Linked DNA regions of Oryzias latipes. Each later gene encodes a partner of the first gene's protein in a complex. Links are inferred from orthologs where the notes say so. Each region holds a gene or a part of one and is shown in the gene's direction. Other genes may lie near its edges.

Region 1 (4,932 bases):
CATCTCAGGTTTGAACTTGCCTCATGTTGGAGCTTCAACCCATAGAAAAATGTGGAGGAAGAGGCGTCCAGACCGACAGCAGGAGACCCAGAAATGACAGTCAGTTGCCTTTCTACCCAGAAACACATCACAGTTTCAGGAAAAAGCTGGCGGCAAAAGGAGAAATTGTTCTACACGTCATTTCAACGCATATATATATATATAGATATAGATATATCTATATATACTTCCAGATCGTGACTGATAGGATGGTAATGGCGAACCAACCAGACATTGTAGTGGTGGATAAAGAACAGAGGAAAGCCGTTGTGGTGGATGTGGCAGTGCCAAGTGATGGGAACATCAGGAAGAAGAAACATGAGAAACTGGAGAAATACCAGGGACTCAGAGAAGAACTGGAGAAAGCCTGGAAAGTGAAGGTGACAGTGGTGCCTGTGGTAATTGGAGCACTTGGGGCAGTAACCCCCAAGCTGGAGGAGTGGTTACAACAGATACCTGGAAAGACCTCAGACCTCTCAGTACAGAAAAGCGCAGTGCTAGGAACAGCTAAGATACTGCGCAGGACCCTCAAGCTCCCGGGCCTCTGGTAGAGGACCCGAGCTTGGAGGAGAAAGCACCCACGGAGGGTGAGAGGGGCGTTTTTTTAAATTTTATATATATATATATATAGATATATAGGGAGCTGGTTTAGCTCGTGCTGGTTTGCGGCGCCTTCCGTCCGTGAAACCAGGGTTCGACTCCGGGCTGCTCCCTGTTCCCTTCTCTACTTCTGTGCCGGTCCCAAGCCCGGTTGCTTTGAGAAGGTTGCGTCAGGAAGGGCATCCGGCGTAAAACATTGCCAAGTTTACCATGCGACTCGTTCGCTGTGGCGACCCCTGATGGGAAAAGCCAAAAGGGAAACCAACCCTATCTATCTATCTATCTATCTATCTATCTATCTATCTATCTATCTATCTATCTATCTATCTATCTATCTATCTATCTATCTATCTATCTATCTATCTATCTATCTATCTATCTATCTATCTATCTATCTATCTATCTATCTATCTATCTATCTATCTATCTATCTATCTATCTATCTATCTATCTATCTATCTATCTATCTATCTATCTATCTATCTATCTATCTATCTATCTATCTATCTATCTATCTATCTATCTATCTATCTTCTGAAGATGAGACCCACCAACTCACACATTGATTCTCGCACTGTTTTCCCAACAATCTATATGTCATAAACACTTCTCAGCTTACTTACTTAGCCATTGCCTCCTTGGTAACCGCCTCGCACCATGATTCCTCTGTAGCAAACGTGAAATCTACCTGGCGTTGATACAGAGTGTGAGTGCCTGTATGGTGAGATGTCATCCACAGTTTTGGCATCTTCTCCAGCTCCAGGCTCAAATGAAACATTTACAAAACTAAAATCATTTTCTTACATTAAAGCTCGGTAATGCAAGCCTTTCAAATAAACAGCAGAATGTGAGAGTTCGTCAGCACATGTTGTCAGCAGCCTGGAGCTGATGACAACAATTCTATAATTCCATTGGGTTTTATATTATCTGATTATAAATCATTTTTAATTTCACTTATTTATTTATTTTTTGACATTTGGTCTTGTCTCATTGTTATAAAATAGTTTATTTATGTTTTTTTTCATAGTTTGTTTATTTTTTGTTGTTTACTAATTGTGTGAATGATGTTGTGTCATTTTGTAAACTGATTTTATTTATGATTATTTTATTATGACTTTATAAAGCAGATGCACTGGAATGTGATCAGAATATAGTCCGAGTCTTTTTGTTGCACTAATACATCCAGAACGCCAGGGGGCGACGTGAGGCGCGGCGAAAAGCTCGATGCCACTTCCGTTTCCTGTCGGCGGCAAAGCGTGCTTCTAGTTTGTGAAGCTAAAACGTTTTTGTGACGAAGACATAATAAACTTCTAATTTACTGTTAATCGGGTCTAAACTTAATCGAGCAAAATGGTGAGTAACTCTTCAAATATGTAATTTCACACGGCCTTTGGGTTTATTGAAGTTTGTTAAAACAAAGAATTTAAGAGAGTTAGCTCGTTTATGCTAGCCATGTTAGCATCCCATTCATAACTGGTTTACACAGCTCGTAGGGGAAAACAAACTTACACTAAAAACAAAACTTTAAAAATGAAACGGTTAGATATTCAAGTGAGCTTTTACTAAAGTGTTGTTTGTTTTGGGTAACGTGTTGCCGTATCAGAAAATGAACGTCCGTCGGAACAACACAAAACTATGACGTTCCTCTGCAGGTAGTAGTGTGGTCGAACATTATACAACAGATTAATAGAAGTATATAGGTCATTTGAATAATTAAACTGCTCCAAAACCGAATTTATGTACTGTTTCCCAATTATTCAATTTATTTTTTTAATGCAGTCCAGATTGGTTCTTCAGTCGCTCCTGTTGATGATTGGTGGTGTAAAGAAATCAGACGTGGAGACTGTCCATAACATGAATAACCCGCATACTTAAAGTTCTAAATATCTCATAGGGAAAAGCGTCATGTTTGCAGACTTGATGTAAGGTTTCAATCCCCTCTGCCGCAGAGTTTGCCCCTCAACCCAAAGCCTTTCCTGAACGGCCTGACAGGGAAACCAGTGATGGTGAAGCTGAAGTGGGGAATGGAGTACAAAGGCTACCTGGTGTCTGTGGACGGATACATGAACATGCAGGTAAAAGCAACTCTAGCTTCATTCACAACTATATCAGGGTTTATTCTGGGATTTTAAAATGCAGCTGCAACACAGAGGCAAACTACTCAAAAGTAAATGCAATTATTTATTCAATCTATTTTAAATTAGTCAAGAGTGTTTTTATCGTACTCAGTTTGTTATTATTATACATGTTTCTAAATGACCAACAGTGTTTTCAGTCTTCTATTCTGAGCATTAACTTAGACGACTGTTGGTGGAAAACCAATTAGCAGCTTTTCTTGTACCAGTTTACAATTTTTTTCAAAAATTCTAACTATCCTATCATATAACATTTTAATAAAAAAAAGTCGTTTAAAAAAAGGTCAAATGGCTCCTGTCGCATAGTGACAGCCTCTGCAAAGATGACGGAGGCTTTTTTGAGTTTGCTAAACGATCCTGTTCAGCAATTATTGATCAGGAACTTTCCGCTTCATCCAAGAGTCAAAAACAAACTCAATACAGTTTCTAAATGAAAACACTTCTGGTTTTTCACAATAAGATTATTCTGGGCACAAATAACAAAACATTTCTCTGAACCAATGAAGTCATTCAAACCAAATCATAAATGTTGTCTCACATTGTTATTTAAACAGTAAATAAGTCAAAACAACTCTAAACACTTATTTTTTTTAAGTATTTATCTGTGATGCTCATTTTTTGATCAGGGTTATCCGTAGTAATCACAACTAAAAATGTTCCAAATTTAGCTTTTTTGTCCTTCACTGAGCAATTAAGTCTGTAAGTCAGTCGCTGCAGCGGCCTGATACTGCATGAAAGTTGGCTAGCATTTCTAAATCTGGAACAACTTTTCTTACCAAAACATATCAAACCATTTTGTTCTATTGTTTAGATAGCAGCACATGTAGAATAAAAGAAATCTGTTTAAAAAATTGAGATTTCAGACCCTTAAAGCTCTCACACCAAACCGGTGTTGCTTCTCCATATTTTACATAATTCTTTGTATATTTAGATTTCATGAAATTTGACCTTTGCTAAGAAACTCTTGTTGTTTAGATGAAGGTTGTTGTTTAACTTTGTCATCTTTTATTATGAGATTTTAAAAGAAATACATTTGTTGTGTTTTACTCAGAGGAAATTACCATAAACATTTTACTTGTTTAGTTTGTAGAAAAAAAGTGATAAACGGCAGGAAAAGTACATGATTGTTGCAGAAATCCTCAGATGGAATGGGTTTTTACCAAACTGTGACACGCCACCATAACAGTAACATCTTTTCTTACGCTTTTCTAAGCTCTTCAGAAAAAAGTCTTATATCTGGACTTGTTTTTAAAATGTTTAATTTCCTGAAATTCCAAAGTAGATTCTTTGTCGAGTGAATTTTCTCAGGTTAAATATTAGTTAAAAAATGACAGAAAAATATAAGTATTTAGATGAAAACTTGGGTGCTGGAATTAAAGGTTAATCTTTTAACATTTGTAGAAAAGAACAGAAAATTTGCATTTGGTTATTTGGGAAACAGCAAAGAAATCCATAAGATCTTTTTTTTTTTTAATATTCTTGTGGCATCTTTCTCATGATGGAGAACACGTATGAAGAATGAATCAGGAGCAGAAGACAAAATGCCTTTTGATTAAGATCGTATTTGTGACGTTGAAAATATGGTGGGCGGGCAACAAGCTCCCTGCTCCGAGGGAAAGGGGGGCGGGGTTGCTCTGTACCAACAGTTTCGCCACAACAACAAACTGGGTAATCATAATTAGAACCACTGGGAAGGCTTTGACACTAGATCTTAAGATGATCAGAGCTGATCTTTAAACTAAACGTTATGAGTAGTTTACTGTTTAATCCAGCAGAGGGCGCCACAGAATGAACGTAAAATCTAACAAATCTTTAATTTGGTAGAAAAATGAAGAGAAGGTTTGAGGTTTTGACTTTTCTGTATGATGTCTGACAGCTGGCAAACACGGAGGAGTATGTGGACGGAGCGTTGGCGGGTCATCTGGGTGAAGTGCTCGTCAGGTATGGAAACCGCCTGATGAAGAAACGCCCTCAAAAAGTAAATAATCGTTTGAAATCCTTGCAGTCGTTCATGGAAACATGTTTTCTGCTCAGGTGCAACAATGTTTTGTACATCAGAGGTGTAGAAGAAGAAGAAGAAGATGGAGAGATGAGAGAATGATGATGAAGAGGAGCCAGCTTGTGTGATTGAACCCTAAAGTGGAGCCGTGTGTTTGTG
Region 2 (4,868 bases), on another chromosome or scaffold:
TGCATCTTGGCTGCACCTATTTGGTGTCACAAAGATAAATTTCCCTCCGTTTTCTTTACTTATTTGTACTGTCATGACAGTGATGGTGCTGTCAGTTTACCTTCTTGTTGCATCTTCAAAAGTGCAGAATAAAATGTGACACTGAATTTGAAACAGCACATTGTAATTTCTGCATCTATTATTAAAGTATTTATTAGTAATACAGTGGAAATTAGTAGATTGGGTTAGAATGTTGATTTACGGTATGCGCCCCTAAATTTTCTGGTTGTGCCCCTAAAATTTTCAGTTGGGGGCCACAGTGCTCCCAGTGAAAAAAGTTAGTCTGGAGCCCTGTATATATATGCGTCACAAGGAAAATAGAAATAAGATCAGAAACTCGTGCGTTTACTTTGTCTGTTCTTTTCTCCAAGCAGAAACTCTCTTTTGCTGATGATGCAGCCGTGTTACTTTATTGATGGACGTATAATCTTCATACGCCGTCATTTAAATGTCCGAATCCGTCTTACTGAAGTACAGCTCTCTCTCTTTTTTTCTCCACACGTTTCCATGGTGACTCCAGAAATCGGCGATCCATTGAGAATGTTTTTATGTACCTGCTGTGCACGTGCATTAACCCAGGGTTACCAAGTGGAGCGTAATTATGCTAACTCATATCCGGTCTGTTGGAACCGACATACCCAGAGTAAGCAAGTTCAGGTGGATTTCAGCCAGAGTTCAGGGTTAAAGTCAGGGGAGTTTAAACATGACTTCTGGAATACCCCCCTGGTCTCTGTGGGGGTTTACTCAGGAACCTCTGGTTGGATCAGATCTTCAGACTCCCACAAAGAGGGGGTCAGAAGTCTACAGTGTTTGACCTCAAAGTCACAAGCTACTCCAAAATATCATTTTAAAGAACAAGCTCTGTTTCTTTTACATAAATTATGGGACACTAGAACTTAAGCTCATCTCTGGTTCTGTGGGTTTGGGCTATTCTGGAATTGAAGACGCCCTGTGACTACACCCAGCAATAAGAACCATACCATTTCTCCACTGAACCTCAGGTCTGAATCCAGCAGCCAAAACAGCGCCCCCTAGGGAGCAAAGTGGACGTACTTTGCTGATTATCTGACACACCTAACCACGAAACGTGAAAGGTTCTAGTTTGATGCTCCACTGGTTCCAGTTCAGTCAAAGGGTCTTAAAAGAATGAGGATGCTCTGGGTCACACGGATCAGTTTGTGTAAGGTTTTGGTTGACAACCACCTGTTTCTGTCATGACAGCCAGCTGTACAGAATCTCTGATTCGGAGGAAAGCCACGAGCTCTGCTCCGTCTGCAAGGAACCCAAGACCTGGAGATGAGCTCCGGACGTTTGACCTCCTTTCTGGACATCCATTCAGCAAATAAACAAACACCACGTGATCTGCAGTTTTACTTCTGGTTAGCAACAAATTAGGTTCGTCACGCGCTTTTACCAGTGAGCTTACCTTGAACGAGTGGGTAAAACGCGCGCTCGCGGAGCTCCACGACCTGTTGTTGAGACACAAGACGCGCGTATCCAGGTTTTTCCGGTGAACCGGAAGTAGTAGGTTGACCCGGAAGCGGTTACAGCACATATATCCGGATCATTTAGCGCGTGGAGGCAGCTTTGTCGGATTAAGGTGAGTTTACGAAAAAAGTAACGAAGCTGTAGCAGCAAAAACAGTTAAGGACTAGCACGCGCTCACAGCATCTAATTTATTCCTCCGCCGCACGCGCTTTCAATCAGCCACAGATTCCCCCGCGTGGATCGGAACCGGTTCCACTGCAGAAATTGGTTGGAGGTTCTAACTGTTGTGCAGCTTCGCCTGCAAAAAGGGTGATGGAGGGAAGAAATGTTCAGTGTTTAGTAGATGACGTCATTAGTACAGACTGAATGTCCGTTTGCCTCAAGAAACGCAAAACAAAGAAAAGACGTAAGAATAGGCTGGCATTTACGATAGGACAGGTATAAAACATCAAATTACCAAGGATAGAAGATTAAAACTACTGTCGACTAAAATGCTTCATCGTTTAAAAAGGCGACCGTACCAAAATCTCCAAATAGGGGAGGAGCATCTGAAAGAAACAGAGAAGTTCAGCCGGCTAACAAGGAATATTGTGTTTTTGTTTTTCATTTAACTTTATTTGTTTTTAATTAACTTTATTCATTTCGTAGACAAATGCAAACAAAGGGAGTCAAACGTACACATGTTAACATAAAATGATGGATTCCTAGAGAAGAAAATAATAGAATAACTGAATATGATAGAGCTTATTGATGCTAACAGATGTGAAGAATTTATGTCATGTTTACATTTTATTTCTAAGTATCACTTCGGGTTTGCTGTTGGGGACTTAGCTGAATATAGAATTTAGCAAAAAATTAATATTTTTATTAAAATATGAATCCTTTTTGTCCTGATTAAAATGATAGAAATCGAAAATAACATTCTCATAAGGGTGAAAATCAGTGCAGATCAAGTCAGTGATCGTCTTTTAGAGAAGGAGGCCAGGCGTCAATCGAGAGGGTCGGAGGGTCCTGTCCCGGGTAATTATGAAAAGCAGACCCGTTATGTACATTTTCAAGGCATCGTTTCAGATGATTTGAAACCACCAGGGGGGTATTCCAGAAAGCAGGTTATGCTAGCTCCCACGGTAAGTTTGAGGCTAAGGAAGTGGATAACCTCAGCTTTCTGTTCCAGAAATGGAGGTATGTTTCAGGGTAGGTCAAGTTGCCATAGCAACTCATGCTCTGAACATAACCTGGTCAGGAGCAGGTTTAGTTGAAGGTTAGTTTGTTTTTCAGAGATGTGAAGCAGCATGGCGTGTCCATTTGAAGATGATTTAGTGGATGAAGAAGCTCAGATAATACTTTTTCCACCATGAGAGGATGATAAGACCACATATGGATGTTGGAAAGAGAAACTTTATACTTTCATCTAACTTAATTATTTGCTTAAGTTAAGATGAATCTTTTTTGGAGTTCAGTCAGCTTAAAAATAACACGTAGTTATCAGACATTTATTTTACTTTCATTCAAATTGATTCAATGAAGTAGGTGTAACTTTGGTGCTGCTGTTAGATCTGCACCGCAAGGAATTGTGGGATACCATTCCCTTTGCCTGTCTGGACGGATTTGGGTTTAAGTGTGGGTTTTTGACCAAATGTGTTTAGTTTAGCTGTTTTACTGTGTTTTGTCTAGTTATTTTGTCCTGTTATGTTTAATTCTTTCTGCACCATGAGTGAGAGGGAGGAAGAGGCGGATGAGTTTATTTAGCACCACTAGTGCGCGTTTCCATGGTGACTCCAGAAATCGGCGGTCCATTGAGAATGTCTTTATGTACATGCCGTGCACGTGCATTTACCCAGGGTTACCAAGTGGAACGTAATTACGCTAACTCGTATCCGGACTTTTGGAACCGACATACCCAGAGTAAGCAAGTTCAGGTGGATTTCAGCCAGAGTTCAGGGTTAAAGTCAGGGGAGTTTAAACATGACTTCTGGAATACCCCCCAGGTGCAGAGATTGGGTTCACTTCTACTCTGTTGACGGCTACATTTTCTTCTGACCTGCGGGTTTACGACACAATTTCCAAACTCATCTCCAGAGTAAATATAAACATGTGAGCGGTGGAGGCGATGCGGCTCAATGGCTGCGGGCCGTTATCGTGTTGTGGGGATGGCTTTATAATAATAATTGTTATGAACATTCATCGTCTCCGCCTTGTTCTCACTGTCCACTTCTGTCTTGATTCACACTTGAGTTGCTCCTTTTTGGTCTCCTGAACAAAATCCGTAATAAACTGCATCTGGTCCAGAATTCCACTGCCCATATTGTCTCCAGAACTCCAACCTTTGATCACCCCCCCCCCCCCCCCTTCCTCCAGCAATTGCACTGGCGTCCAATTCAATTCAGACTCCTCCTCTTCCTCACCTTCAAATCCCTCCATAACCTGGCCCCTGTTTACCTCTGAGCTCCTCCAAGTTGACGCCTCCTCTCGTTTTCTCCGGTCCTCTTTTTTTCTCCAGCTTTCTCACATTGTTTTTTTATCCTATTTTTCTAAATGTATTTTTATTCTTGTTTTTACTGCTATGTACAGTGACCTTGTGTGTCAAGAAAGGCGTGTGTCATCAAATTATTATATGCAATTCTTAAGATGGAAAAATTGATATTAAAATATAAAAGGAAAAATTCTACTAAATTTGGTCAAAATTCATCAAATCCATTCAGAGCAGGCTTCTAATGAATTCCACTGTCTATTTGATGTCTGCATTTAATGTCTCCACCTTATACTTAAATTTAAGTGAAATGAAATTAAACCATTGGGTGTTTTTGCTGATATTTGTTCTCAGTCTGTTATGATATTTCAACTTATGGACAACAGAAGAAAACGTGTCAAGGATCCTCTGAAGTAGGCCTGCACAATATACCGCAAATTTATCGTTATCGCAACATTAAGCTGTGCAATATGCATACCGCAAAAGACGGCGAAAATCGCAATAAATGGTTACCTCAAATGTACAAAAACAAACTCATGGCAGCTTGAAATATTGAACACATGAAATGAATCCCTTTATGCATTTAACCAATCGGAAGGACCCGTTTATGTTGTTGATCAATCAGATGAGCCCTTATATGTTTGATGTTTGCCTCCTACGTCAACAAGGGTCATTTGGATTATAATTTTTAAACTGTTGTAGTGAAATGGAAATTATTTTTTGGTTGTTTTGCTATTTGTTTATATACCGCAAATTATATCGTTATCGCAATATTAATCACCAATATCGCATATCGCGAGTGTTCCTCATATCGTGCAGCCCTACTCTGAAGTACAGTAAACCCTTGTTTTTCGCGGGGGTTACGTTCCAA
Region 3 (3,935 bases), on another chromosome or scaffold:
GAAATATATAGGTGCTTTAACAACAAAAGACCAACATGCAAGAAGCTCTCTTAACCTTAACCCAATAATAGAAAAAAAACACACACAAAGGAAAGTGAATCAGTGGCTCTCCAAAGATTGATCTTTAAGAGGAAGGATTTTGAGATAAGATAAGATAAGATAAAGCTTTATTGTCATTGTACAATCACACTTGGTACAACAGTACAACGAAATTGCAAACTGTCCCACATTGGTGCAAAGAGAAAGAAGAAAACAACAATTATCTTTTACACACAAAAAAGTATAAAAAATAAATAGATACATATATAAATATATACTGCAACTTCCAGCTTTTTCTGCCACAATTGACACAAAAATGGATGTGAGATTGTGGAAGGCTGGGCATGCTTTTACATTTCAACATGTTGACGAGCCTTTTCTGCTCTCTCCCATAAATACTCCTGTGGAGAAAATATGTCTGTCCGTTATCCCAGAAGAAACATTATTTCAAATTAACATTGCATCTCTACCTCAGAGCATGTCTTATTGGAATATGTTTGCTGATGATATTGCATGGAAGGAGGTTTGGCAAACCCCTAATAAACGCTTGATCACCAATTAAGTAAAATAAGCTACTTTTAGGATTATCCACAGAATTTACCCAGATACAATTTTCATTCAAAAAAGATTAGATGAAACATTGATACATCTGTAGTTTTTGCTGCAATTCCCCTGAAACAGACATCCATCTTTTCTGGAATTGTCCTCAAGTTAAAGTGCTTTGGTAGAAGATTTGTGATTTCATACATGACAAAATTGATTCTTGTTTTGTTTTATTCTGGAAACATGTTTTGTTGGATCTTATATCAAAGGATACACAAAAGGACTCTGGTTGGCTTTTAAATCTCTTGCTCATGTTGGCCAAACAAAAAAAAAACAGTTACAACTTTTTTTAAATTGGTGGGTTTTTATATTATGTTCAGACCCCATTTTCTTTGTCTTTCACTTTTTTTTTAACTTTATTGACAATTGAGGTATCATACATTAAATAACGAACAATAACCATGTAATCAACATTACCTTGAAGATCAATCACCATTGCCAAACATAACATATTAACAAAAAAATAAAGAATAGAGAAAAACAAAAAAACAATGAACATAACACACAAATAAATAAAAACGAATAAGTAAAATAAAAATAAAATAAAAGAACATAGATCCAATCTAAATAGTCTAATACTAGTTAGGGGTACTCGTGAAGTTTGTATTTCTGAACAAAACAAAGCAATTTCAAGTCATTCTTCTTTTTCATATAATGAAGTGATTTGAAGTAAAAAACAGAGCTCTTTATGAAATGTTATAAAAAGTGTTTTGGTCTTCAAATATTTATTTTTGTGTATATAAAACTTTCCTTGCAACATCTGGATATTAAGAACACCAAATAGAAATTTTTCTGCGTGTAAATGAACTGGCATTGCAATTTTGGAAGAATACCAAAAGCAGAATTCCTCCCAGAATGTTTTTATAACTCCTTTGTCTTACACCTAAACAAACGTTGCTGTTCAAATAAATACTCCACGTTCGATTGCTTTTGCCTGCTGGACTGCGCTCATTTGTCGATTGGTCGGGCCTGTGCGGAAGCGTGTTCGTCAGTAAACATGGCAGCCACCCAGGGCACGAACCCGTCCCAGCTGCTCCCACTCGGTCCGTAAGCTTTAAATTAAGCCCGTTTTCTATCCGGGGTCTGACGGGGATTCACGCAAAACTCCGGGAAGTGTTCATGCGGGGGTCAGAGCCGGGGCCGCTGCGTGGTTTGAACGGTCTGACAATGGCGGGCAGGAGTTAGCAGCTAATTGTTCGTTAGCATCGAAACGCTCATGCTGTTAAAACTACGTTAAAGAATGACACTTTTTAAGTCTTTGGGTGTTTGTCTGATTGTAATATATTTAATTCATCGATTAATATGGTCCTGCCGTAAAGGGTTCGTAGTTGACGCGCTTTTTGAATTGCATAGCAATGCTGCAGCTAGCCGCTCCTTGCGACCGTGTTGCTAATTAGCCCAAAAGGAAACGTTTTCACCTCGTCATTCATTATCATTAATATTATTAGGATGTACTACTCTTAAGAGATGGTTTTCCTTATGTTGGATGCCTTGCGTAAACTTTATTTTAAACAAAAAGTTAAGTTACAGACACCTGTTAAAATATAAAATCAGTGTGGTTTGTAGACTGCATGCATGAAACTGAAATAACTGTTCTTCTTTCTTCAGAGCTTGTGGACAAATGCATCGGCTCTCGAATTCACATCGTCATGAAAACAGACAAAGAAATCGTCGGAACCTTGTTAGGTTTTGATGATTTTGTCAGTATCCTTCATCGATATTTTGGTATCAGTGTTGTGCTGTTTCCCTGTTTGGCCCACAGCCGCTCCTTAACTCTGTGTCAGACATGGTGCTGGAGGATGTGACAGAATTGTAAGTATCTTGTTTTCTTTTTTTTTGTGTACTTGGGGCTTGCTGTTGATGTGTTTTTGTTTTTCCAGTGAAATCACACCGGAAGGCAGGAGGATAACAAAGCTGGATCAGATCCTCCTGAATGGAAACAACATCACCATGGTGAGAAAGCAGTCGGTGGGAAGGATGGGGGGGGTGTCGCTGACCGGATCTCTCATCAGAATGGTTCTCTTTGCAGCTCATCCCAGGTGGAGAAGGCCCAGACGTGTAGATGTCAAGTTTTCTAAATGTACATACATCTTTGGTTGTTCTGGATTGATGTTAGTTTGCGGATTTCTCTTACTGGACATTTTGTTTTTAATATTTTTTAGTTTTGATTCTTTAAGGTTTGAATGAATCACGTCAAGGACAGAAAAGCTCTTTTTGTTATAAATAAACCAGATGATTAAACACAGTTTGATTTACAAGTTTATTATTCATAGGTTCACTTTAGTGCAATTTTCTTTCCTGTTTTTAAAAAGTGTTGGCATCCAACAGCAGTAATAACAGCTCACGGTTCATGAAGTCTAAATCTAAAGTTGCGCTCCTCCAAAACGGCGTACCGCTGCCGCCTCAGTACATGGAGGATTTCTCCTCTCCTTTTGGGTTGGTCACCTTTTCCAGGTTTTTGTTGATGATGTCGTACAGCTCGGCCTGAGGAAGTGAGAAGCTTGTTTGAATGAAAAGGTAATACACTTTAGCTATAAAACACCCCTAAAAACACATTTTCTTATATAAAACTAGGAATTTAACCTTTTTTTTGGTTAAAACCTTAAATACTTTCATTAAAATCCTACATCTGAGTGGAGGAAGATTTAAAAAGAACTTGTTTTAATCCAAGTAACTTCTTTTTTTTGTAAACCAAACAATTTATGCTACAAGAATCTCCAACTAAAAGTGAGCAAAAGTGTCTGGAATCCAAAGCATTTAGCGGCTGGAGCTTTGTCGTCTTACGTAGAAGCCGCGGATGTCGAGGAGGATCACCCTGAGGTCAGAGAAGAGCGCTCTGTCCTTCTCATGAACCAGTGAGCGGTAGTCCATCTGAGGGCAACACAACGACAGTTAAAGGTGTTTCAGGACGTCCGAGCCCATTGGCTACTGGGACATGATTGACAGAAGTCAAAGTGACGCCATGTAGGTGGAAGGTGGAGCAGTGTTTGTGAGACCGCCGTCAGAGTCGGAGCTGTGCTGACCAACGCATCATCTCAGATGCTCTACAAGCTTTCAGTTGTGCTAACTGAGTATTTTAGGTTCATTTGTCTGCTGCTATGTGTTTTCATGTATGTTTACTTTGTATTTATGTGATTGTGCTGCTACTAGAACTTCCTTTCCCTGCAGGGACTGATAGAGTTGATCTTAATCTATGTCCGCTGCAGAGCAGCGTCTGTTGTCGTGTCGTCCCTCCTGTGATGTACCAAATTCTGGGAGAGCTTCACGCCACATCAGAGAAGGTGGCGCCAACA
Region 4 (2,952 bases), on another chromosome or scaffold:
CTCTGTCAGACTCCTTGCAGTCCACCATGCTGTCATGTCTGTCGCTGGACCAGCACCAGCCTCACCACGTGAACATGTTCAGCAAAGGCCTGCTGGTGGGTCTGACCCAGATCCTCCCCTGGTGCTCCGTCTCACAGTGGAGCAGGGTTCTGAAGGTCCTGAAGGAACTGATCGCCTCCAACCGGCTGAACGTCCCCTTCTCTTTGGAATACGTGGAGTTTCTGCCTCTGCTGGACCTCCGGCAGTTCTCCTGTGAGCTCCGCGTGTCCGTTCTCCTGCTCCGGGCGTTCCAGCTACTCTGTGGTTCCAGCTGCTCCCATTGGCTGCCCGCTGACGGCTGGGCCCATGCTGGCAGGCTGTACGCCCACGCAGTTAGGAACGTGTTGAGCTCTGTTAAAGTCAAGCTGCAGCTTCCTACAGCGAGCACCGCAGCCGTCTCTGAGTCAACTCCTCCAGAACCAGCACCATCCGGAGATCCAAACTCTGCTGTCAGTCCATACCAAGACTCCTGCATGAACGGCCGGGCCCCCCCAGACCCTGGAGTCTCCAAAGAGGGACATGTGGAGAGCAAAAGCCAGGAGGTCCTCTTCGTTCTCAGCCAGCTCTTCTGCCACGTTCAGCACATCCAGGTCAGAAGGATTCTCTTCCCTGCAGGTTTTGCTCTTCTGGTCGCATGAAGCTTTTCTCTGTTCCTACATTTCAACCATCGAGGTCTTGATGGTTGGAAAAATGTGAACTGAAAGTTTCATCAATTCCGGAGAAGTACAAACTCATCAAAAGGGTTTTGAGTTAGTACTTAAAGGTGATATAATGTAGCAAAAGTCTTGGACTGGACTCATTCAGAACTCTTCATTTCTTAGCTTTCAGTTTTTGGTGTGTGTGTGTGTGTGTGGTGTTGGTGTGTGTAGGGGGGTGGGGGGTCTTTGGTGGTCTCACAGGTTCCTCGGGCTCTGATGGGCCACAGAATGATCCTCCTGCTGCTGCAACACAGCCCCAAACCATGACACCTCCCCCTCTATTTGTTAGTATGGGGGTGGGGGGCAGACCTGAGCTGGTTCTCAAACGTTTAAGACACCCCCCCCCCCGCCCTTGTAAACCGGAATTCAAAGTCCTTTTAAATCCTTTAGACTCTTAAGCTGCTCCATATTTTTCTGAAGTATGATTGTGTGAAAGTAAAAAAACAAGAAGACATGAATTGTTTAGAGTTCAGACCAAAACGCTTGTTAGACACGCACTTCTGGAGGAATTTACCAGTTGGTGCCACACCTGGTTAAACGTCCATAAACGTAGAATTGCTGGATGACTTTAAAAAAACAAATTTCTTAAAGTTTCATGGCTTTTTCTTTTTTATTCAGTTGACTTTCATATTTGTCCATCAGACAAATGCCACAAGAGAGAATGTAAAATTTTCATTGGAGGGGGACTATAAAGCCTGAACTTCTGAGAAGGTGTTAAGTCTTTCCAGAGCTGCAGGTCTGTTTGCAGCAAAGATCTCCTCCATGTGTGAGGATGTGTGGAGCTGCAAGGAAAAAAGGAATTCAACTTTAGTGAAGCCAAAACTTAAAAAAATAGTCCTGGAATTTCTGTCAATATTTTTCTGGTAGAAGTCTTAAATTTTTCTTCTGTTGATGAACAAAACATGGGCTTTAAAGTGGACCATCTCAGAGGACTTGAGGCGTTTACTGCTCAGCTTACAGAAGATTTCTGTTTTCCCATTTGAAACCTCCGTTTACAGATGTTTTCCTTCCAGGTGATGATGCCTGGAGGTCAGAGTGAACCTCTGTTCCTGTGCAGTCTGGAGATCCTCAGCTCCTACGAGGCCATCATGGCCGCCTTCCCCGACAGCTGCAGCCCGCTGGAGAGCGACAACACGCGTCACTTCTTCTCCACCATCACGGACAACCTGCTCAACCAGGAGATGAAAGCGGTCCTGCAGCAGAAGATTGCTCAGCTGGTGTCATCAGCAGCGTGACGCTCCAATGGACGCTATGCAGAAAGAAAACACGCTGACGCACCTGCACAGGTGCAACAAGCTGTCCTTGAATCTGCTTATAGTAAGCCTTCCCCAACAAAACAAATGTCAGAATGAAAAGCAAGAACAATGAAGTCAGGACAGTTTTTGGTTTTCTCATGTCATTCAGGTTTGTTCTTTTGTAAATAAAGTTCTAATATCTACAAGAACAGTTTTATTTGCTTCTAAAAGAAAAATCAAAAGATCAGGTTCAAATTCCAGCTCAGCATGTAACCTGCTAATCTGTCCTTTAGTGGGACTCTTCAGTCCGTCCTCAGCCGGGCCTTGTCTGGCGCCGTCCTCCCTCTCAGGTAGAGTCTGTTGGCTTTCCTCAAAAGCAGGAGAAACCAGTAGATCTGTGGAGCCAGAATCAGCAGGTTTCCCAGGTTGCAGTGCAGAGGCATGTGAAAGGCCACGGCGGAGAGAGGAACCCCCAGCTGCCGGCTGTACTTCCAGTACATGAAGGGGAACAGCAGGATCCGGCACACAAAGAAGGTCAGGAGGACCATGAGGCCGTTGATTCTGTGCAGCATGGAGTCGTCGAGGCGCAGCTGGAGAGCAGAGTCAGCTGTCAGAAACTTTGCAACACATTTTCAGAAGGTAGAAGGTCAAAACCTGGCAAAAGATCTCAGGTTGGTGGTATATCACATGACAAGAAAACATAAGAAATATCCACTTTATTAGCCTTATAGTGGAGCAAAAACATTACCAGTCATTGATTCTTTAAAATGAGTTTTGTCTGTGATGTTCATCATAGAAACACTTTAACAGTGAGACAGAAAGTAAAAAAATAATCTAGGAAATCACATTTAGATTTTTTATAGAATGTATTTGTATAATGGAGCAGAAAATATGTACCAAAAAGTTAACCTCAATACTTAAGAATGTAGTCCTGGTTTTAATGACAGAGGTCAAAGGTTTCCTGTAGGTCTTCAGCAGCT
Region 5 (4,676 bases), on another chromosome or scaffold:
CCTACAACTATTTGTAGTTTTAACGGTTTACTCAACAAACTTGAAAAAAAGCCCAAAGGGATTGTTTGTGTTTGGAATTGGTTTCCTTATTTCATAAGTCACAAGATCTCCTTTGGATGTTGGCCAAAAAGGAATTGTGGATTTTACCATCTGAAAGAAGTGCTACAACATTTTTGTCAACGGCTCAGACTCTTTAAGACATCTCTTCAAAACAAAACTTATATTAGACTAACATTAGATAAATACACCTGCTGTAGATCTCATAGAACTCAGTTGTGAGAGTTTCTAAATGACACTATAATGCATCTTATAACTTTTTATAATTGTATTATAAATGGTAAATGGCGTATAATTGTACTGCGCTTTCTACCTTCCTTGAAGGCCAAAATCAGTCACCTATTCATACACAGATTCACATACTGGTTTCCTGGTTGCTGAACACTGGCACCAACCTTCCACCAGAAGCAAGGTGGTGTTCAGTTCAGCGTCTTTCCCAAGGACACTTCAACGGTAGGGCGGGTATCGAACCTGCAATCTAACGATCAGAGGGTGACCACCCTACCACGGCTGCCCATGTATGCAAGACATGACAGCAATAAACCTGGAGCCTAAAACTTTTACTATTAAAGTTTTTTTGTATTGTTTGATTTGCAAAATGCAGTTACAAAAGGCCATGTTTATAGTTTCTTGATATTGAATTATATTTTTCAAATAAATGAGTTTAAAAATACTGCTAAAAATACAAATGAACAATGCTGCATCATTTGTTTAGCACCTACAATAATAGATAAGGCAATCTGTGATTTGGAACGTGGCACATATGAAAAAAAGGAAAGGTTATTATTATTATTATTGTTTTTGTTGTTATTAATATTATTACTATTATTGTTGTTGTTGTTATTTCCAATATTTTAATTGTTGTTGTTGTTAATAATGTTGTTGTTGTTTACCAGGCAAAGGTCACAGACTAAGCAACGTCTCTTTTATTTTATATTATTTCTTGATACTGTCAACCTGGACTTTGATATCCTGCAAATGCAAAATAACTGGATAAAAGCAATGCTGAATTTAAATGTATCAAATTGTATTTAATTAATCTTTTTCGTGTATTTATTTAAACATGTTCTATAATGTCGTTTGTTAAATTGCTGCATGAATGCTGGGGCATTCATAACAGTTTTAACTTCGGCTTCAGTAACGAAATTACTAGAGATGGATGCAAGATTAGAATAGAATATTTTAGCTGATGACCGTTGTTTGATTTTTTTTCTATTGTTGCCAAAAAGAATAGAATATTTTTCGAATTTTTGGTTTGCGTCGTAACCCGGAAGTTATTCTATTTAAGCGCGTTAATATCACCGGAAGTGATTCTGTGCACGCGACTGTCGGCTAAAACGTTGTAGACACGACCGACGCACGAAAGAGGCTTTGGAACTTTACTAAACGGTTTTTATAAACCAGGAATCATGTTAGTATCTTCTATTGTGTCTCGATGTTGAGGGCAATGTTACTTTTTACGTTTAGCTGCTAATATGGAGATCGCACTATTAAGCTAGCAGCATTTTCCTTCGAGTTGGTGCTAGATCGCTTTGTGTGGCCTAGTGGGTGGTTTTTAGAAATGTGTTAAATTGGATTACATTGCAATTACTGCATTCTCAAATTAAATTGTTTAAAAAGTTACGTCCAAAGCTAAATTCTGTGATTGTACATCGCGCGAAAGCTTGATGGACGTACTAAGCCTCATTAGCTAATTGCTAATGAGACTGTTAGCTTGCTCTATCCATCATGAGTAAATGTCCTCGTTGTGCGATTGCAGCATTCATTCTTTAGAAAGTAGAAATGTTTAAGCTTCTGCAAGATGATATGATCAAAGTCGTCGGTTATAGACTCATTTTGTGTGAAAGCCAAAGTTTTGTTCTAAATATTTTGTGCGTAAAGAGCCTAAACTCTTTGCTGATCTCAAAGCACACACTGTTCAGAGATTGTTGAAAACTTCAAATGTATCTGGAAACAATAAATGTTCTGTGCTCATTTAAGGGTGGCGGGAGGCTTTAATGTTTTAAAACTTGATCCTTTTATAAAGTCTAGTATTTGTTGACCTTTATTTAGGTAAATTGTTTCTCTATCATCCAGAGCAGCCATTTTTTTTAAAGTAGGTTTTACTTCTGCCTATTTGTAGTGATCATTGTACAAATATAAAGAAATATCGAGACTAAAATGTACTGATTCAATTTATCAATGACCAAAGCATTTATTGTGTGTGTGAGATAATTCCTCAATAGTTTTGATTCCGTCTGATGTAATGTCTCCTGTACAATGGTTTTCTGGTTAATACTAGTTTTGCATGTTTAGTTTTATTTAGATATTTGGTTGTGGTCCATTTTCCTGCTTAAGCACCTTCTGCCTCTCAAATGTCTCTATTAACTGAGCACTTTCAGTCAACAGCTTCAGCTCTCATAAATGCTCTTTTGCAGGAACTGAGACTTTTTTTAGCTGGTTCCACTTTTCAGATGTCTTGCCTATATTGTACATTTTTGTGCTAACTTGACTTTATAAGAAAATGATCATTTTGTTGAGGCACACAGATGAAGCCAACTCTTGGATTCGCATTAACAGTAACTAATGCTTGTGTGTGCATTAAATACGAAAGTGTTGCGTTTGTGTCTTTATATTTATTTTTTAATTTAAAAGAATAATAATAAAAAGGCCCAAATCCAAATAATAGGCCGCCCAAGCAGTCGATGCTTAAACAGTACATCGTTGCTTATTTTGTTTGCTGTTATCACTAATTCAGAACTTGTTTAATCCACAGGAGTCTTCTAACGAAACCTAAGTCAGAGATGACGCCTGAAGAGCTCCAGAAAAGAGAAGAGGAGGAGTTCAACACTGGCCCTCTGTCGGTGCTCACCCAGTCAGTCAAGAACAACACCCAAGTCCTCATTAACTGTCGCAACAACAAGAAGCTGCTTGGAAGAGTCAAAGCATTCGACAGGTATTGGGGGGCTGCTGGTGTAGCGGAGAGAGGTTTAAGTGTGTATTTAGGACTTTTATATGAAGAGGAAACAAACACGAAGAGCTTGCATCTTGATTTAGAAAGTGTTGCTTCACTAAAGCATATTTTTGCAGTCTTTTTTTCTTCTTCTTTCCAGGATTTGAAATAACATGGCGCCTTACAGTGGTTTTATTCTAAAATGTTTCAATTATTCCCTCCTCTCTTTGACATATTCCTTTAATAGAATCAAGAATAAAATACATTCAGAAGAATTCAAATACAAGTAAAACACTAAATATAAGCTCACAAATGTAAGAGATTAAAAAGGCGTCCATAGCATCTCCTCCACATTGGGTACTGTGCCTGATGTGGGTGTGGGGTTTGAATGATTTCATTCTCTGAAGCATTGTTTTGTTTTTTTATCAAGTATGAGTTGAATAAAAAGCCACTTCTTAAATACTAAACCTGTTTTAAGGGTTAGATGTCAACAGCAAGATTTCTATATGTAGTCACTTGTGTAATAAAATCAAATTTTCTTACAAAGCTTAAGCAATGAAGAAGGGAGATTGCAAGATGTTTTATTTCAATAGTTCTTGCATTGTAATTTTCTGATCTTTTTGGTTTTTAAAAGAATAGATTACGTATGTGAGCAAATCCACCTGAGCACCCCAAGATTTCAAATGCCAGTGAGTTATTAGTATGAAGGTAAAAATGTGTCTAAATAGACGAGCTTGTAGATTTGGTGTGAGAACTTGTAATTTACAATGTGAGAACTTGCACACCAAAAATCTGCATCTGTGTGTAAAAATCTTCTGCTGTAAAGTCTGACAAACTAAATCAGAACTGACAAATTCCCATTTAGAGTTACAACCTCCAATCTGGGATTACAACTGCTCAAATGTGAATCTGCTGGCGCACATCACAAGTGCACAACAACTGCGCTCTGACTTCTGACACATTCCTTGTGAGAAACTTGTGTCAAAATTGATCTGTGTACGAAAACGGAACGGGGGGGACAATAGGGTCATGATTAGTCAGTACAGAAAGTTTGCTGACATTAGCTTTAGTATCTTTAGAACTATTGAGCACCTTTATTATGAATCATGTCTCTTAAAATGTGAAAAACTATATAAAATATATTAAACATGGAATTTCTCAGCAGGAAGTCCGAATCTGTGAAGATCTTTCTAACTTTACCAAGTCCTCTGAGTCCTGCACTCTGATTGGTTGACTCCCCCATCCTCTACACACACACACACACACACACACACACACAGAGTTCCAGTTTTCGGACACAGATCAGTTTTTTCCTTGTAGTTGGACCGAACCGTTTCGGTACGGCAATTTCGGTTCGGATCACTTTTGTACTGTTTCGGTTTCTCCTTTTTTTTGTCTGTTTATCCTCTCTCTCCCCCTCTTGCGTTGTCATTTGTTGGTACACTTTGGATTTGTCTGGATGAAAGGAAAGACAATTAAATAAGTCGAATACTGTGTTTCAACATTTTATTTTTACGGAAGGGTTAATGGCCGACAAAGTGTGCGTTATTACTTTTTAACGCACACCGTGGAAGCCTGAACCATCCGACTCGAAGTGCGTTAAAAAGTAATAACGCACACTGAAGGCCATTAACCCGCTTATACCATGGTCACTTACAAAAGCAATACATATTAATCACCTTTTAGA
Region 6 (3,830 bases), on another chromosome or scaffold:
GGGGCACTTCGACTCGGTGGTGTACCTGCGGCTGTGGAGCGGAGACCTGCAGGGGGCGCTGCAGCTGGCAACGGAGAAAGGAGAGCTGAACGACCACCTGCTGTCCGTCGCTGCGATGGGTAAAGAGCGGGAAGATGCCGGTTGAAGTGTCTGTGCAGACGTCAGGAAGCCAGTTTGATGCAAAAAAAGAGAAGGTTTTGGCTGCTGCTGGTCTAAGAGCACTAAAAAACATTTCTCACAGGAAATTCTCTAGATTTTTATTGCATCGATAAAAGCTGACGAGGGGACAGGAAGTGACCTCATGATGTGTTGGTTCTTCACCTCCTCCAGCTGGTTTTGAGGCCTGGAGCCGCGCGGTGGAGGCCTACGTCAGGCAGCTGTGTCTGCAGGAGCAGTACCTGAAGGCGGCGTCCCACCTGCTGTCCATCAACAGAGTCTACGAGGCCGTGGACCTGCTGCGATCACACAAGCTCTTCAGGTCTGAGCCGCTCGGCCGTTTGACTGAAGGAGTTTGTGGAGCAGCTCCATCAACCAGAGCTTGTCGTTCGTCAGGGAGGCCATCGCTCTGGCGAAAGCGCGGCTGGCGCCGGACGAGCCGGTCCTGAAGGAGCTGTACGGCGGCTGGGCTGCGGTGTTGGAGAAGGACGGCCATCTGTCCGCAGCAGCTAAATGGTCTGAAGGGAAGAGTCCGGCCTCACAGACCAGCGCTCTTCCTCCGCCTGATCCGTCTGACCTGCTTCTTTCAGTCACCTCGCCGCCGGCTCCGGTTTCGACGCCGCCAAAGTCATCGCCAAGAAGAATGACGTCGCGTCTTTGAGGACGGCAGCCGGCGTGGCCAGGATCTCAGGGGAGGGGGCTCTGGCTCAGACGCTGGCGCTGCGATGCGCCAAAGATCTGGCGGCTGCTCAGGATTGGCTGACGGCGCAGGAGGTCCTGAGCGGTCAGGACGACCTTCTGGTCAGCAGCTCACACTCTCCTGATCCCCCCTGGAAAGGAACAGGAAGCCTCTCACCGAGATGTTTCACCTTCTGCAGGTCCACAGGCTGCATCTCTGCGTGGCGGAGCTGCTGACTGTGGAGCTGCGTGACGCCGGGGTCATCCCTGCAGCCTCCTGCAGCTCCACCCACACATGGGCGGAGCCAAGAAAACATCCCGCCAGCATCCAGGACCGAGTCAGAGACGTGTGGGAGGAGGAGTTTGGCATTTCTGCAAACGCACCAGAAGACGGCAGCATGGAGGCTCTCCTGCAGGAGCTGAGGTCCGTGGAGAGTCCGGCCCCCACCGCCCCCCTGAAACAGGTACTGACCTCCAAACGGCCACGGCGGCACAACGTCATCAGTCCAACGCAGGAAACTGTCTGTGCTTTCTCCTCAGGTCCTGCTGCAGGCCTCGCTCCATCTGACCCGCGGCGTGCTGAGCTGGATCCTGAACGACGACGCGCAGCTGCTGAAGGAGCTGTGGTGGGCGGCGGCCTGGATCAGAGACGCCGGACTCTTCTGCGCCTCCGCAGAGCTGTGCAGGCGGCTGTTCCCCGAAGGTCCAACACGCCTCCCTCTGAAGCCGTCACACGTGTTCAGACTCCGCTTCAGACTTCTGACCCCATAACGTCTCAAAACAACAAATCGCATTTTCTCTGAAGCCGTTTCTGTACGAGATCAAAAAAGTAGAACACAAACAGAAGAAACACGTGAAAAACTGATGAAGCGTTTCACAGAACCGTTGAGACGAGCTCAGTTTGGATTTTATTTCTGTGTTTCTAAAAATGGATTTAAAACAACATTCCTGTTTTCTGTCGTCTAGGTGATGTTGGTCTGTTCTCCAGGAAACGTCCAAAGACCCTGAAGGGGACCGAGGCTGAGGCGAGCGCTGCGCTCAGCAGCCTGCAGGCCTTGGTCCGCTATCACCGCCTGTACGAGTGCTGGTGGAGGAGCGCCGCGGAGCAGGTGGAGGTCCAAAAGGGAGCAGCGGGCGAAGGCCAGGAGGACTTTGAAGTGCTGCTGTCCGAGCCGCACGCCGCCTGTCAGAGCCTGCAGAGGTCGGTGCAGGAGATCCGGGAGCGGCTGGCGGCCATGGTGGCGCAGCACAGCCGAGCGCAGGAAGACCCGCTCCCTGTGGGGAACCAGAACTCTGCAGAGCACAGGTCAGATTCTGATGCAAACATCGCTCACAACGACCAGGCCAGGAAGTGCACGTTTTTTTCACGATGATGGTGTGAAATTTGAGTTCAGGAAGTTGGATCATTTGAATCATTTAAATATTAAAAAAAACATCACTTTGATCTGGTTTATGTTGTAAAATAAATGAAATACCTTAACCCTGGTCATGTTTCCGTCAGGTCCAGCAGCGTCTGCCATGGACTTTTTCTTCTAGTTTGTGCTTCATTCAGTTAACTAGAAGTTTTTGTTCCAGCTGTGAAGATCAGGAGACTCTTCTGTCTCTGTCCTCCAAGATGTCCAAATACCAGCAGCAGCTGGTCGACCTGCCCGACACCCTGAAGGTCGGCCTCCACTCCTCCATCTGGACACGCTCTCATGGGTTCTGTGTTTGATCTGGAGCTGTAACTGCGTCCTCTTCGTCCCTCAGATGTTTCCTCATCCAGACGTCCTGGAGTGTTCCCTCGTGCTTTTGCACCTCGGCCGATCTGCGGGCGCCGTGTGTCCGTCGCTGCGACAGAAAGCCGAAGACCTGCTGCAGAAACACGGGAGGAGTCCCTCCATTCTGAACGCCTATCGGCGCTTCATCACATGAACACGTCTGCTGCTGAACCTCTGCACCTGTACAGTTTTGGTTAATAAAGGACACATGAAAGTCACCTGAATCAGAGCTCCTCTAAAATCATTTTGGTCATTTTAAAGTAGTTTTTCCTTTAGTTTGTGAAAACAGTTACATTTTTACTAATAGCATTTATAAAAGTGGTTAAACCTCATAAAGTTCAGGATCTGAGCTCAGAACTGAGGAACAGTTAAACTATAAACTAATTATTTAAACTATTTTTGATTATTATACTAATTCTTACCCCTTGTTCTATCCTAGGCACTCTAACATTGGGAGTTGGGTCATCTAGACCCACTAGACAGTGCTATGAACCTTTTTTCTTCAATGATTTGTGATCTTCACTGGTGTCCATGGATTACATGAAATCTTTCCACCTTTATCCACCTTTGTCATGGTAGGGAGAACACCTCAATGGAAGGGGGGGGGGGTCATCTAAGATAGCACAAGGGTTACACAAAGTAAAAAAAAAGAAACTCCAAATGTTTGGTAAATTACAAAAGTTCAGTTCAAATGTTTTGAGGAAACTTTTGGTGGTAGTGATTGTTACCACGCTTGGCCACTAGGTGGTGCTAGAACAGCATGGAAGCGTGACTTCAGCAGCTGATGGAGGCTACAGGTGGAGTCAAACTCAGACATTTCTCCTGCTTTGACTCCGCCCCCTCGCAGGACTCTGTTCTTCAGCGTGGCTGGACCATGGAAGATGTCTCTGGGACGTCCTTCGGCTCTAGCAGCTGGTGGAGCATGTGGACACAGACATGGAGGCCGGCTTGAACATGGAAGGGCCTCAGACCCCCGCTTGTTGAGAAGGTTTCTCCAAAGTGGAGACCAGATTCTCCTGACTGCTCTGCTGCCCTCTGCCTTTTGTTATCGGCGACGGTTTGTGTGTCAGCGTGTTGCCCATTTTGGGAGTTTCTATGGGATGTTTGATGAAGATCATTCTGAGCTAAAGTCCAGCAGGGAGAACCGCAGGAGTTTTCTGCAGCTCCGGACTTTCTGGGTCCAGGTTTCTGCTGTAGATCTGATGTTCAGGTGGATTCTTGTTCTGTGCATCTGAA
Region 7 (4,848 bases), on another chromosome or scaffold:
GTACATAGACAATAAAACAATTTTATGCTCTTTTTGAAATAGTGAAAACACAGGGTAACGCATTTTCCCATCTCAGAGAGAAATCTTTAAAGATATGAATGATAAATCTACTGAACTCCTTTCAAAACGTCTGGGTGGGCAAATACCCAAAAAGATGTGTCACAGTTTCTGAATGATCTCCACAGAAACAATCAGTATTAATATCTTTTTCAAATTTTGTCAAGTATTGTTTTGCAGGGTAAATTTTATGGAGAATTTAAAAAGACACTTCTTTCACCTTATTTATTGTTAAATGTTTATGAGGGATCCTCCACACCACTTTCCAGTTGTTACCTGGAACAAATTGATTACAATAATTTAAAATATACTATGTCACTTATTTATCAGTGTTTTTAAACAGCATTAATGTTCCTGATGGTAGGGCATTCTGCACCATTAACCCTTGTGCTATCTTAGATGACCCCACCCTTGCATTGACGTGTTCTCCCTACCATGACAAAGATGGATAAAGGTGGAAAGATTTCATGTAATCCATGGACACCAGTGAGGTTCACAAATCATTGAAGAAAAAAGGTTCAGCGCACTGTCTAGTGGGTCTAGATGACCCAACTCCCAATGTTAAAGTGCCTAGGATAGCACAAGGTTTATGGACTCTTGTAGACTGACAGGAAAATTATATAGCGATAAGGACACATTGTAGTTTAGCAGCTGCCCCTCCTTATTGAATAGCCGAGCCACCAGCAGGGTCCTATTCTGTGTCCAGGTCTCCAGGTGGAGTGATCTTTTTTTAAATGAAAAAAATCTGTTAATCCAGATGAAATATTTGTGTGGTGAAAAAGGATACTTGAAAATTAGGTTCCACACTAAGAGGACCTGCTAATGGAAAGATGAGAGTTTTACTGGGAGTTTCACAACATTATTGTTACAATTCAAAATAAAATTAAAGCCTCCAAAACTAGAGAAAAAAATCTGTAAATGGTATAATGTTCCAGATAGCAGTGGGGTTCTTAAGAAAAATTTTGGCCCTATTAATTTTAACATTATACTGCAGATAACATCTACTGAGCAGTCCTTAATTGCAAATAATTCACATTACTTTTAGTTTAAGTTTAAAGGGTGGGGTTATGAATGCTTTTGTTCTTCCCACTCATTTTCAAGCAATAAATCAAGAAGCTCTATTTGACATTAATGAATACTATATTTATTTAAGCAAATGTGACAAAAGCGAGTCTTTGTTTTAATCTATGTCTTTCATCATTTCTGTAATTAGTTTGTCAATCTGTGTGATTTAAAAAAAAAGTATTGACTACAGTTAATGCTTGAAATAAAAATAAATCAAATAAAATCAAATTACTTCCTCAAGCGTGAGAAGGCTCCCACAATAACTAATTTCCTCTTCATCAATAGTTCTGAGGTTTTGGATATTATTAAGTAACAAAGAAGAACTGTCCTCATAGTGTCCATTGTTTTTACAGTCCATGGTAAAAAGCGCATAGCACTGATTTTCATTCTTTCTTTCCTTCTTTTTGTATTCATTCAATAAAGTTTGAAGGAAAAAAGCGCAAGTATTTCGCTGACTCCGGCGAGCCACCGTAGACTCTTACTGCGCATGTGCGTGGTTTTCAAATGAGTGGCGTGTGAATTCAACATTGCTATTATTTAAAGTTAATAAGTTGTATGTATAAAATATCACTATGTCTGTTCAACCTACAAACCCAAACAATCCAATCGTTTTCTTCGACATCACCATCGGCGGTCAGGTAAGTGAGCTTAAAAGAAAAGTTGAATAAATGGCTAAAATTTGTTAGCTAAGGCTTAAGGGTAACTTGAAAATCGACTCAAATATATAGTTATTCTTTACAGAGAAAGAATAATATCATGTAAACTGCGCGTGATACGGTTTGCGTCTGTTTATTAGATGCATCCTTATAAATAAAAGTAGTTTTTGTGTGGTGAATCATCATGTGTCTCTGTCTGAATTTCACCGTCGTATTAACAAATTAAAGTCCGGTTTAGACACTCTTTTAACAAACGACGTTTTATTTTTTTTATATTTTTAAAAGCTTAAAGTAATGTTTATACAGCATTCCATTAGATCCAACAAAGACTACACAACATGTTTGGTTTTACTTTTGCTTATTTTCTAGCTTGTTTAATTCTCTACTTAACTTAGTCTGTGAGAGTCTTTCCGTCTGTACTTTGATATCGCAAAGCTTTTTTTCCCCTAGATCCATTGTGTTTTTTTTGTTTTTGTTTTTTTAACTTAATTCAGGTGAATCAAGTAATCAGGGAGTACAACACACATTTCCAAAGTTTAATATAATACTAACGATGCCCTTTCTTGCTTGCTATCTATCAATCTGTCTTTTAAATATGGCAAATGGCGTATACTTATATAGCGCTTAGCTACCTTCTTCAAGGCCCAAAGCACTTTACAGTCGCAGACCCAGTCACACACACATTCACACACCGATGGCGGCTCCGCTGCCGAACACTGGCGCCAACCTCCCACCAGAGGCCAGGTGGGGTTCAATGTCTTGCCCAAGGACACTTTGACTCATGGGTGTGCAAGGCGGGAATCAAACCTGCAATATTACAATCATGGGTCGACCGCCCTAACGCTGCACCATGCCCGCCGTAGATAGGTACCTTGTATTTAATTTACTGCTCTGGAGTGGGGTTGTATATCTTTCCGTCTCAAATGAATTGATGCGCATCTCGATACATGGTCTATGAATTGATACATAAAATATTCAACTAACTTTCCGGTACAGTCCAATTTCTTTTAATCTAAAAGGATGACAAATGACTAAATGGAAAACAATCTAGATATTTATTATTCATTTGGCATATAACATAAGGGCTGCACGATGGCACAGTGGTTAGCGCTCTCGCGGCGAGAAGACCTAGCTGGGAACTCTCTGTGTGGAGTTTGCATGTTCTCCCCGTGCATCCCTTCCTCCCACAGTCCAAAAACACGCTTCATAGATACATTGATGACCTTCAGCTTACTGTAATTAACCTGACTTGGTAGAAATAAGCTTGTGACTGGACGTTCCGATAGAGTAAAGCACAAAAAGAAGAGAAATTGACAGAGATAAACCGATTATTCCTGATCAATTTTATACCTCTATTTTAACATGATCTTGTTTGTATCTGTGATTCTCAACTGATATGGCTGTTACACTCATAACTTGATTAATTTCTTTTATACATTTCTGTATCCTTTACGTCCACAAACATGTTCTTTTTTTTAAGACATTTAAAAACTCTGAAAAACTTACGTGCTTCCTTTTTATAAGGCACGTTGATCTTACAGACTTCCAAGAACTCTCAGGTCCCAAAGGTATTTTCTTTTAACTGTCCCAAATGAAAGCAGCATAGCAAACAATGAGGCCTCATTTGCAGTTGTTGTTGATTTTATCGGCAAAAACAGCCTCCCCCAAGACATTCTGCCTCCGCAGAAATCATTATGGACAGGTTGGACTGACCTTTTTTACTTGTGTTTTTGTGCCTTGCTTCATCAATTTGGTGTCTCCTGCCTTATGTTTTTATTTTCCCCTTCAACGCGTCCTTGCTCCAGAGAATGATGATAGTTTCAGTAGATGTGTTTTTGTGGCTGCTTCTTTAATATGTGTCTAAATTGAGCTGTGACGGTGTGGGATTTTTGATCACCGCGGTGATGAACCAGCAGGGGGCGCTGCGTTCTTTTTTTTTTCATCCTCTGTTATTTAATAGGTTCCGATGAGAACCATTTCCCCGAGAGGCCACAAAACTAGCAAATATGTTGTAATTAACTAGCAGTTAATCTGCTTCTCCAATAGATTTTTGTCAACAAACAACTTATTTTCTCATCTGGATCTGGATGTTTTTAGACAAAAGCTGCATGTTTATACTGGAATGTCTTGCCACATTTGAGACTTTGTTGTTTGCTAATTCCTCATTACATATTAATAATTCATTCATCATGAGGAACTTCAATTTTCTCAAAATTCTCCATTGTTGTCCCAGAACATTGTTGGGAGTCGTGGCGGTGACGCAGGTGTGTAATCCAAACTTTAATCAGAAACCTAATACTCAGCCCGTTAGTTTTTTTTGTTTTTTTTTTTTATATTATTTTTATGAACCTTGCTGACTGCTTGCTGACCGTAGTCGTTAGCACAGGGTAACCGCTACAGGGACGAGCAGCTCGCCTGGTTCCGACCCGTTCCTGGTTCAGACCTGGTGACAAAAATACAACAGCTGGTCGACAGACGACCCGGAGAGGTTCTGCATGATGAGGCTTTTATTCACTTCTCATTCAACCTCATTCAACATGAAGAACTTTCCATCCTATAAGAGACTCTGGTCTGTCGCAGACACGCCCCCTCCGCGTCTTCACGCTGCTGTCTTTCTTCTGCCCGCTCGCACATCCCGACGGTGTGAAAGGTGTGACACGGCAATCTTAGACATGATCGTTATTTTAAAAAACCACAGAGAGCCGCAGGCTGCTGACCCCTGATTTAGCTGATGCTTGACTGTAATCCAAATGGCATAAAGCTAAACACTGAGCCAGAGTAAATGCTAAACATATTTATCAGAGGTTACCGGTGGAAATTCCATTCTTTTTTATCAAACCGTAACATACTTTATCCCGTCACCCTTAAAAGGATACAGTGGGTCAAGAAAATAGATGGATGGAAAAACCCACTTTGATTCTCGTTAGCTATAAAGCACATACCTGACATGGCATGAACTGCCTTTTTAATATTAAATACATAAAAATCGAAAAAGAAACTCACATGACTTTTGAATATATTTTATTGTCTACAGGATAAAAGCAATTATTTGTTTAAAAACCAAAGTATA

The links.
Region 2: snrpf (region 1) and prpf4 share a complex: the UniProt entries of both Homo sapiens proteins name them as parts of the U4/U6-U5 tri-snRNP complex. The link is inferred for Oryzias latipes from reciprocal best matches to the Homo sapiens genes SNRPF and PRPF4.
Region 3: snrpf (region 1) and lsm5 share a complex: the UniProt entries of both Homo sapiens proteins name them as parts of the U4/U6-U5 tri-snRNP complex. The link is inferred for Oryzias latipes from reciprocal best matches to the Homo sapiens genes SNRPF and LSM5.
Region 4: snrpf (region 1) and gemin4 share a complex: the UniProt entries of both Homo sapiens proteins name them as parts of the SMN-Sm complex. The link is inferred for Oryzias latipes from reciprocal best matches to the Homo sapiens genes SNRPF and GEMIN4.
Region 5: snrpf (region 1) and snrpd2 share a complex: the UniProt entries of both Homo sapiens proteins name them as parts of the SMN-Sm complex. The link is inferred for Oryzias latipes from reciprocal best matches to the Homo sapiens genes SNRPF and SNRPD2.
Region 6: snrpf (region 1) and gemin5 share a complex: the UniProt entries of both Homo sapiens proteins name them as parts of the SMN-Sm complex. The link is inferred for Oryzias latipes from reciprocal best matches to the Homo sapiens genes SNRPF and GEMIN5.
Region 7: snrpf (region 1) and ppih share a complex: the UniProt entries of both Homo sapiens proteins name them as parts of the U4/U6-U5 tri-snRNP complex. The link is inferred for Oryzias latipes from reciprocal best matches to the Homo sapiens genes SNRPF and PPIH.

What each region holds. Positions count from the first base shown.
Region 1 is NC_019881.2:20,375,047-20,379,978, reverse strand, and holds the start of snrpf (small nuclear ribonucleoprotein F), read left to right. Parts: upstream 1-1,854; 5' UTR 1,855-1,989; coding exon 1,990-1,992; intron 1,993-2,588; coding exon 2,589-2,714; intron 2,715-4,650; coding exon 4,651-4,715; intron 4,716-4,808; coding exon 4,809-4,875; 3' UTR 4,876-4,932. UniProt on the Homo sapiens protein: Plays a role in pre-mRNA splicing as a core component of the spliceosomal U1, U2, U4 and U5 small nuclear ribonucleoproteins (snRNPs), the building blocks of the spliceosome.
Region 2 is NC_019870.2:3,849-8,716, forward strand, and holds the start of prpf4 (U4/U6 small nuclear ribonucleoprotein Prp4), read left to right. Parts: upstream 1-1,546; 5' UTR 1,547-1,639; intron 1,640-4,868. UniProt on the Homo sapiens protein: Plays a role in pre-mRNA splicing as component of the U4/U6-U5 tri-snRNP complex that is involved in spliceosome assembly, and as component of the precatalytic spliceosome (spliceosome B complex).
Region 3 is NC_019878.2:23,646,591-23,650,525, reverse strand, and holds lsm5 (U6 snRNA-associated Sm-like protein LSm5), read left to right. Parts: upstream 1-1,566; 5' UTR 1,567-1,639; coding exon 1,640-1,685; intron 1,686-1,746; exon of another isoform or gene 1,747-1,761; coding exon of another isoform or gene 1,762-1,801; intron 1,802-2,250; coding exon 2,251-2,346; intron 2,347-2,426; coding exon 2,427-2,454; intron 2,455-2,522; coding exon 2,523-2,595; intron 2,596-2,671; coding exon 2,672-2,704; 3' UTR 2,705-2,887; downstream 2,888-3,935. Other genes in the region: psme2 (proteasome activator complex subunit 2), read right to left, coding at 3,046-3,126, 3,427-3,513. UniProt on the Homo sapiens protein: Plays a role in pre-mRNA splicing as component of the U4/U6-U5 tri-snRNP complex that is involved in spliceosome assembly, and as component of the precatalytic spliceosome (spliceosome B complex).
Region 4 is NC_019871.2:19,893,279-19,896,230, forward strand, and holds the end of gemin4 (gem-associated protein 4), read left to right. Parts: coding exon 1-629; intron 630-1,322; exon of another isoform or gene 1,323-1,750; coding exon 1,751-1,972; 3' UTR 1,973-2,178; downstream 2,179-2,952. Other genes in the region: protein FAM57A, read right to left, coding at 2,275-2,562. UniProt on the Homo sapiens protein: The SMN complex catalyzes the assembly of small nuclear ribonucleoproteins (snRNPs), the building blocks of the spliceosome, and thereby plays an important role in the splicing of cellular pre-mRNAs.
Region 5 is NC_019871.2:25,537,312-25,541,987, reverse strand, and holds the start of snrpd2 (small nuclear ribonucleoprotein Sm D2), read left to right. Parts: upstream 1-1,337; 5' UTR 1,338-1,466; coding exon 1,467-1,468; intron 1,469-2,812; coding exon 2,813-2,992; intron 2,993-4,676. UniProt on the Homo sapiens protein: Plays a role in pre-mRNA splicing as a core component of the spliceosomal U1, U2, U4 and U5 small nuclear ribonucleoproteins (snRNPs), the building blocks of the spliceosome.
Region 6 is NC_019872.2:29,388,744-29,392,573, reverse strand, and holds the end of gemin5 (gem-associated protein 5), read left to right. Parts: coding exon 1-119; intron 120-330; coding exon 331-478; intron 479-552; coding exon 553-672; intron 673-746; coding exon 747-957; intron 958-1,034; coding exon 1,035-1,298; intron 1,299-1,374; coding exon 1,375-1,537; intron 1,538-1,800; coding exon 1,801-2,140; intron 2,141-2,409; coding exon 2,410-2,497; intron 2,498-2,583; coding exon 2,584-2,748; 3' UTR 2,749-2,818; downstream 2,819-3,830. UniProt on the Homo sapiens protein: The SMN complex catalyzes the assembly of small nuclear ribonucleoproteins (snRNPs), the building blocks of the spliceosome, and thereby plays an important role in the splicing of cellular pre-mRNAs.
Region 7 is NC_019865.2:7,775,929-7,780,776, forward strand, and holds the start of ppih (peptidyl-prolyl cis-trans isomerase H), read left to right. Parts: upstream 1-1,585; 5' UTR 1,586-1,694; coding exon 1,695-1,760; intron 1,761-4,782; exon of another isoform or gene 4,783-4,848. UniProt on the Homo sapiens protein: PPIase that catalyzes the cis-trans isomerization of proline imidic peptide bonds in oligopeptides and may therefore assist protein folding. Participates in pre-mRNA splicing.